Linked DNA regions of Cricetulus griseus. The protein of the gene in region 2 interacts with the protein of the main gene of each other region in a biochemical or structural test. Links are inferred from orthologs where the notes say so. Each region holds a gene or a part of one and is shown on either strand. Other genes may lie near its edges. The genes, in order: Sema4a and Plxnd1.

What was found.
Region 1: the proteins of Plxnd1 (region 2) and Sema4a form a complex in vitro, tested with the Homo sapiens proteins (2 studies listed by IntAct, with this or other methods). The link is inferred for Cricetulus griseus from reciprocal best matches to the Homo sapiens genes PLXND1 and SEMA4A.

The regions. Positions count from the first base shown.
Region 1 is NW_023276806.1:66,051,504-66,055,932, reverse strand, and holds the start of Sema4a (semaphorin-4A), read right to left. Parts: upstream 3,025-4,429; 5' UTR 2,729-3,024; coding exon 2,590-2,728; intron 1,048-2,589; coding exon 887-1,047; intron 15-886; coding exon 1-14. UniProt on the Homo sapiens protein: Cell surface receptor for PLXNB1, PLXNB2, PLXNB3 and PLXND1 that plays an important role in cell-cell signaling. Regulates glutamatergic and GABAergic synapse development.
Region 2 is NC_048601.1:28,898,695-28,902,502, forward strand, and holds part of Plxnd1 (plexin-D1), read left to right. Parts: intron 1-62; coding exon 63-202; intron 203-468; coding exon 469-636; intron 637-717; coding exon 718-808; intron 809-945; coding exon 946-1,203; intron 1,204-1,289; coding exon 1,290-1,439; intron 1,440-2,016; coding exon 2,017-2,131; intron 2,132-3,639; coding exon 3,640-3,747; intron 3,748-3,808. UniProt on the Homo sapiens protein: Cell surface receptor for SEMA4A and for class 3 semaphorins, such as SEMA3A, SEMA3C and SEMA3E. Plays an important role in cell-cell signaling, and in regulating the migration of a wide spectrum of cell types.

The DNA.
Region 1 (4,429 bases), on a different chromosome or scaffold from region 2:
GCCGGCCAGGGTATCTGAAGTGGAGAGTTAAGAGGAGTAGATGAAAGGCAATGAGGTCTTGGGTTTTTCTATAAGCCACCATCCCTCCCCTCTCCAGCTCTGGTGTGAAAACACCAGTAAGGCAGTTAGTGGTCTTCTGGTAGGCAGTGGGGGTGCCAGCCGATTAGGACTATCACTTCCACACTATTAGGGTTCATCAGGACGTGGCTCTGTGGTAGAACCAGATGGATCTGAGTTCAAATCTAGGCTCTGCCACCAGCGGACTGTGCACTCTGACTCAGTTTCACAGCCTGCTGGTGGTTGCAGCTTGATGGATGGCGTGTGTAAGCGTCTGGCATACACAGCAGTGGTTATAACCCACACATTTCCTGGGGGAGGCTGTCAGCTCTTGAGCCACCCCTGAGAGAAGCTGCATAGGAGGGGTGCAGACATCAAACTTAGGGCCTGCCACCCTCTAGACAAAGTGCCCTGCCACTGAACTACATTCCTAGTCCAAGCAAGACTCTGGAATTTAGCCCATACCCCACATGTGCAGATAGCCAAGAGACCTCCCACTAAGAATCCATGAGCCATGCCTTCCTTCTCTTTCCCTCACATTGCTAGCATTAGGGAGATGATAGCACAAGAATCAAGGATTTCTCTCATAGGTAGGTGAACATCAAATTATTTGAGTCACTGATTTGAGTCAATGTTTTTCTCCTATGCCACTGATTTCCGTATCAGCCATTTCAGCAGCCGATTCTACTCAATCGGCATTCATGGCCTCCATAAACAGTGAGAGCACAACGGCTTTCCATCCTGACACTGCTGATAGGAAGCGCTGCACTGGTCCCAGGCAGTAGCTGTCCTCACTTCCAGTCAGACCCTTTGTGTCTGGCCTCCTCACCATGTTCCTCAGCCTGGGGATTCCTGGGTTCTGGATATTTAGGGCCAGGATGGCCTCTCGAGCCCCGACATAGAGGGTGTTGCCATCGGCGCTGAGGAGCAGCGTATCAAAGTCTCGGAGGCCTTTTTGGTGGAAGAAGCTGAGGGCTCTGTGCCCATCTCCTGTTGAGAGGCAGTGATAAGGAGAGGATGAGGAGGAACCGTGCACAGCCGCTGATTCCTGAGACAAGGTCGGGGAGGGGTGGCAGGCCTCGGCAGCTGGACCTGCTCTTATGCCCGAAGCCCCCTTTTCCTGAACCCCCAGGAGCTTTGTGTGTTGAGTCCCCACAAGAGAGAAAAGTGCCAAAGACAAGGTAGTGACAGCCTGGGGCTGGTGGAGGTGGGGGTGGGGGGAGTCTGCTCAAGACCCAGGCAGGAAATGAAGTAAGGTTCGGAGATACATTCGCAGGCCTGGGGGCGCTGCAGGGAGACAGGGTGGGAGAGAACACTGACAGGTAGACACAGGAAAGAGTTCTCAACCACAAGCAGCCGAGATAGATGTCTTTTGCTTCAAGATTTGTCACAGTTCAGAGTCCCACCACCTCCCTTCCCCTGTTTCCTCCCCTTGCTCTGTTACAGGAATCTCCCTAGCAATGCTGTGACTGGAAAGGCCATGGCCTCTCCCTATCGGAGCCCTGTCAGTGTGGGCATGCCTGAATGCCACCTGGACAGGCTAAGTATGTTGGTTACTAGGGCCCACTCCCTACCTAGTGTGGTGGTGTGTGTGCACTCAGACACGAGCTCCTGCACATCAGCCAGGAGTGAGCGCTTCAGACCCTCCCTCGTCAGCACGTTTGGACTTTTGTGTCAGTCAGAGGACAGCCTGGTTGTTACCATTTTGGCCTCAAGGAATCTTAGGACCAAGAGGAATTGGAAGACCAAATGTTTCGGCATGGTGTGGGATGCCCTGCCCTGAACTCTGTGCTCCCCACGGTGAGGCTTCATCCTGGCTTCCCCTTGAGGCCCAGTCTTGGTAGTGTTTGCACTCCCATCCCACAGGGGGATGCCTCTTTCCACTGAACCTACACATCCTTTGCCATTCTGCCTCAGAAGGCTGCTAAGCTGGTGAACAGAACTGCCTAGCTTCTGCGCTGGTGGTGTTCGGTGTGTGTGTGTGTGTGTGTGTGTGTGTGTGTGTGTGTGTGTGTGTGTAGCACTTCCCTTGAGGCAATTTCCTAGAACAAGAGGGTTCAGAAGCCCCAGCAGAAAACCACTGAGGCTCAGCACCAAGCTCCAGCCCACTCCCAGGTGAGCTGTCCAGGGCGCCTTCCCCTGGTGCCCATCCTACTGGACACAATCTGGCCTGCTGTGATTTCTGCAGTTAGCTTGGAGTCACCAGCTCCGTGAACAATCTGTCATGGGCTTTGGCTTTGGGACAACTGGAACTTGTGAAAGCAGTCAGGAATTTAAGGTGTCCTGCTTGGTGACAGTGACACTTGACGAGGGAAAGAAAAATCACTGGCTTAGCGGAAGACGGGCAACGGTGGCCCTGTCTTCTCTTCCTAATCAATTTGTACCTTACTTGAATGGTCTCTCCTCCTCCCAGACCCTCCTGGGCATCTCTGTCCCTCCATTCCATTGCCCTCCCTCTGAAAGTCCCTTCTCCTTCCTTGACCCCCTCGTCTCTTCATTGACACCCAAACCTCCCAGTTACCAGACACTTACCTGCATGATATTTGACTCTGGGCATGGGCCCCTGCCCACCAGTCCCGGTAGCAGGTGGCAGTGACAGCAGCAGGAGCAGTTGGAAGAAAAAAACACCCAGGAGACTCCAGGGGTCCTGGCCCGGGGATGGTAGGGCCATGGTCAGACAGAGACTGTCACCAGATGGCTCTGGGGAAACAGGCACTTTCTGGGTAAGCAGTGCTTACCACACCCTTCCTGAGGGCCAATAGGAGAGCCCCAGGGGGACAGAAGTTCCTCTCTGGAAGGGCCCTCAGAGTCTCACTTCCATTCCACTCCTCGCAGTGATGTTGCCTCCCCTGCCCTCCAGGTAGGGACCCTGGTGTGACTCATGTTGTGCCCCTGGTCTCCTACTAAAAGACCACATTGTCATTTCTCACCTGACACACAGAAAAGTCCCTTTCTTCTCTTGCCCCTTAGCATCTCCTGCCCCCATGGTTCAGAGCCCTCATCACTCCTGGCCCTGGACAAAGGACTTCTGGGGAACGAGATCTTGTACTCAAAGGGTAGATTCCCCAGGCTGGCCTGTCACTCAGCTGTGCCTACACCTTGTGCCTGCTACTCACCCCAACCCTGGCAGGCAGCCTACTCTTTCCCCAGCCCCCAGGGACTCTGACTCTGGCTTAATAGGGCCTATCTAGCCTTCTTCTTCAGGGTAGGGGCATGCCAGGTTATCTACCAGCTTGGCTGACTGCATTTCTTGGGGTTGGCCTAGGCAGGAGTCACTGGCAGACTCCCAACCACTACGGCCTCCCTTGTCTCTGTGCCTCTGCTCTCTGTCTCCCTGGATCTCTGCAGCATCAACATCCCCGTGACTGCAGAGTGCAAGTTGCCCACCTCATCATCTCACATACCCTTGAGCCAGCCACACTGAGAAGTCCTGTGTTCAAACCCTGAAGCATCCAAGGCAAAGGAGGGGGTCCAGGCAAAGAAAGCAGGCTCAGCCCGGCTGGAATGGGAGCACGGCCCTCCAGGCACCCATCCTGCGAGAGCCAGTGTGGGTTCCAGGCCAGGGAAACCAGAATTTCTACCTCGAGTTGTGACAGATCCTGGCTTGGGCGGAAGTTGGTGAACAGTGGATCAGGGCGGGGAGATGGGGGGGGGGAGGCTCACAGGCTTTGTGGGAGACACACCTCCCTCCCTCCACTTAGTCTATCCAGAAATTAAGGGTTTCTTCTGAGCCACTTCAGTGATGTCCCTGTGTCTCTAGCACATCACTTCCATTCTAACCAGCCCAAGCTGCGGTCTCTCCTCTTGCTCAAGACAGCTCAGTATGACTCTGTCTTTCATATTCCTCTTTTTGCTGACTCTGTAGTGGGGTTCCCCCATTGCCACCTTCTGAGAAATAGCTACAGGGGCCTAACCTTCAAACCTCCCACATCCTTGAAAGATAAAACATTTAGAGCCAGGCATGGTGGCGCACACCTTTAATCTCAGCACTCAGGAAGCAGAGGCAGGTGGATCTCTGAGATCCAGGCCCACCTGGTCCACAATGTGAGTTCCAGGACAGCCAGGGCTGCACAGAGAAACAAACAAACAAATAAACAACAGCAAAAAGCCCACGTTTGTATAGGTTTGTGTCCCTGACTTCTCTGAGGGAGCTCCTGCAGTCTAACCTCTCGCACCCTTACCACAGCATCAGGCCAATGGGAAACTTGAGGAATTTCCCCTTTGAGCTCATGCTTCATAGGATGCATTTTGGAGCTGAGGCACCCAGCTGGAATGGTGACTGGTTCTTCCTCCCTAAAGGCTTCAGGGAAGACCTCATAACGCAGGGTTAATGAGGCACCAAGGGCTCCTAGGCCAATAAAGAGTGGTTGGG
Region 2 (3,808 bases):
CCCACCATCCAGCTCACTCCTTATAACCTGAAGCCAGAGCCTAACCCCTTTATTCTCCCCAGCTGCCCGTGGTCCACTCCCTGGAGCCTGCCCTGGGTCCAAAAGCAGGGGGCACCAGGATCACCATTCACGGCAGTGACCTCCACGTGGGCTCTATGCTCCAGGTCCTGGTGAATGACACAGACCCCTGCACCGACCTTATGTAAGCCACGCCCACAGCCTGGCAGCTGGGAGGTGGGCGAGTCCCTCCATAGGTCTCATCCGGGTATGCCCTGCTCTGGCCCTTCTTGACTTGGGGTAGATGTTGGAAGGAAGGAGATATGTCCAAGTTGGGTACAACCCGAGGCAGCGTGTGGCAGTGGGAAGAAGAAATTGGGCAGAAGTGGCAGAAGACAAGGCCGGGGCACCTGTGGTGGGTGAGAACTGGAAAGGGTCACACTCATGTCATCGGCTCATCACTCTCCATAGACGCACAGCCACCAGCATCACCTGCACTGTGCCTGGGGGTACCCTGCCGGCTCTAGTGCCTGTGTGTGTGCGCTTTGAGAGCCGGGGCTGCGTGCATGGAAACCTCACCTTCTGGTACATGCAGAACCCAGTCATCACAGCCATCCGCCCAGGCCGCAGCCCTGTCAGGTGAGATCCAGACCCACCCATGCCTACTCTGTCTCACTGTCCAGGCTGAAGGGAGCCTGACAAGTCTTGCTGTCCCCTCAGCGGTGGCAGAACCATCACTGTGGCTGGTGAACGTTTCCACATGGTACAGAATGTGTCAATGGCGGTACACCACATTGGCCGGGAGCCCACGGTGAGGGGACAGGGTGGATGGGGTGAGGGGTTGGGGGTGAGGTGGTCTGCTCTGCTTGGCCTCGCCATCTCCCCCTCTCTTTACCCGCATCCTCCCGTTTTCCACTCTCATGGGTCCATCCTACCCCAACCTTGCAGCTCTGCAAGGTTCTCAACTCCACGCTCATCACCTGCCCATCTCCTGGAGCCCTGAGCAATGCTTCAGCACTTGTAGACTTCTTCATCAATGGCCGGGCATATACAGACGATGCCGCTGAGGAGCTGCTGGACCCTGCAGAGGCACAGCGGGGCAGCCGGTTCCGTCTGGACTACCTCCCCAACCCACAGTTCTCCACAGCCAAGAGGGAGAAGTGGATCAAACATCACCCAGGGGAGCCACTCACCCTTGTCATCCATGTGAGCACCTGGCTGGGAGGATGGGTAATGGGGGCAGTTGACCTGGGAACTCCACCCCCATCCCAGCATCCCATCCTCACCCACAGAAGGAGCAAGACAGCCTCGGTCTTGAGAGCCATGAGTACCACATCAAGATTGGCCAGGTGTCCTGCGACATCCAGATCGTCTCAGACAGAGTTATCCACTGCTCAGTCAATGAGTCTCTGGGCACAGCTGAAGGGCAGCTGCCCATCACTGTGAGTTGTTGGGGCTCTGGAGGTGGGCAGACCCAGCTTCTGGGTACGGAAGTCACTAGGTGTTTCCATGTTCAATAATTTAAGCCAGCAAAGCAGAACTTTATACCCTGCCTTGACAGATGGGAAAACTGAGACCCAAGTTATTAGCCCCAGAAGCTATTAAAAAGTAGCTCCTGCTTGTTTGGGTGTCCCACCTAGAGTGTGGCCTGCGTAGTCATTGTGTAGTATCAGGGAGAAGAGCAAAGACAGTCTGAGGTGGGAGGTGCTTTCTGTTCTGCATCTTCATACCTCCTGCTGAGTCGCCCCTTACCTGTTCCCAGGACAACAGCCAGACCCCATGAGCTTCCCTGTGACCCCCCTCCTAGGCTGTCATCATCACAACCCTGTACTGAGTCGGTCTCTCTGCCAAACCCTGGATCACAGTTTGTCAGGCACAGTTTGATCAGGAGGTGGTTGTGGCTGTCTGTGAGGGGTAGAGTGATCAGGTCATGTGCCTGTGGGCACGCAGCTTGTGAGAAGAACCGAGGCATGGCTCCAGCAAGGGCTTTTGTGTCACCCCCTGCCACTCTGTGCACAGATCCAGGTGGGGAACTTCAACCAGACCATTGCCACACTGCAACTGGGAGGCAGCGAGACGGCCATTGTGGTGTCCATTGTCATTTGCAGTGTCCTGTTGCTACTCTCTGTGGTTGGTAAGTAGCCTTCACTTCTTGAGAGTCAGGAGCGTATATATGAATCCCTGTGAGAGTGGCAGTGGGTAAGGTGTGGGTATAATAATCAGGTATCCTGAGCTGGGGATAGGAAGAAAGTGGCAGATACTGGTTGGAGCTTCTGTGCTCAGGCCATTGGCTTTGGATGCAAGGGGAGGAATTTGGGGGCTTCTGGAGAGAGGTTGTTCAGGGGAGATGATCCTGTGTGTTTAAGCAATGTATGCAATGTGGCAGAGAGAGCAAAGCCCCGATACACTGCTGGGGGGACAAAGGTACACTTTCCTTAGGAAATGGCCTTTCGGTTCCTAAAAGTTGTTAGGCATAGATGGCCCAGTAATCTACACAAGAGAAAGGAAAACATGTCTACATAAAATCATGTACACAGATGTCTGTAGCAATATTACTTATAATAAGAGGTCATCAAATGATAAGTGGGTAATTAAAATGAGGTCTATCCATACAATGGAGTTTTCTACCATAAAAACGGAATGAAGTGCCAATACATTCCCACAACATGGATGGGCCTTGAAAACATGGAAAATTAAAAAGATAGACACAAAAGGCTACATACTGCCCTACTGTTTTTTACTTGAAGTATCCAGGAAGGGCAATGATTAGTGGTTGTCGGGAGAGGAAGGAAGTGGGGAGCAACCACTTACTGGGTGAGGGTAACCCTTGGACAGCAAGAACGTTGTAAAATTGGATAACGCTGATGGTCATGTGGTATGTGAGTAAGCTCCAACACCCTGACCTGTAAATGGATGGATTATGGTCTGTGTGTGTATTTGGAGGCCAGAGGTGTGGTACCTCAGCGGCTGTCACCTATATTTTGAGCCAGGATCTCTCACTGGGACCTGGAGCTCGCTGACTTCACCTGGCTTGCAGGCCAGTGAGCCCCAGGCGGCTACCTTTCTCTGCCTTCCCAGCCCTCAATTTCAGGCTCATGCCACCATGCCCTGCTTTTTATCTGAGTCCTGGGGTTCAAGCCTGGGTCCTCCTGTTTGCACAAGTGCCTTACCAAGTAAGGCATCACCCCAGCTCCCATGTTGGTTTGTTTTTAAATACTATGTCAAAGCTATGAGGGAAAACAGGAGGAAGATGAACACCCTGGATGTTTTTTTTGTTCCTAAAAATACTATCCATAAGATTTCTATAATCAATGGATACTTCATCCCTCCCAGGAAGAACAGGTACTGCATACCACTTTGAAAAGTTTAACTCACAAGGCACATCAGGGCAGAAAATTCTTTTGCCCAGAGAAAGCCCCTGATGACTGCTGTTAGACACATTCCTTCAAGGGTTACCCTGCTGGCTGGACCTCAAGCCCTGTGTTGTCAGGGAGGGACAAGGAGCAGAAGGGCTTGCCTCCTGCCCAGAGGCACTAAGGCCCATGGGTAGAACCTGTCCTTTCAGGCCCACAAGCTGCATACAGCAGGTACCCACCTTTTCATGAACCCTGGAGACCTGAACCGCCCCTCTGCTGCCCACAGCCCTGTTCGTCTTCTGCACCAAGAGCCGCCGTGCCGAGCGCTACTGGCAGAAGACGCTGCTGCAGATGGAGGAGATGGAGTCTCAGATCCGCGAGGAGATCCGCAAAGGTGGGTACCAGGGTCGGGTGGTGCTGCACATGGCTGGGCAGGATCACTCACAGCTGCTGGT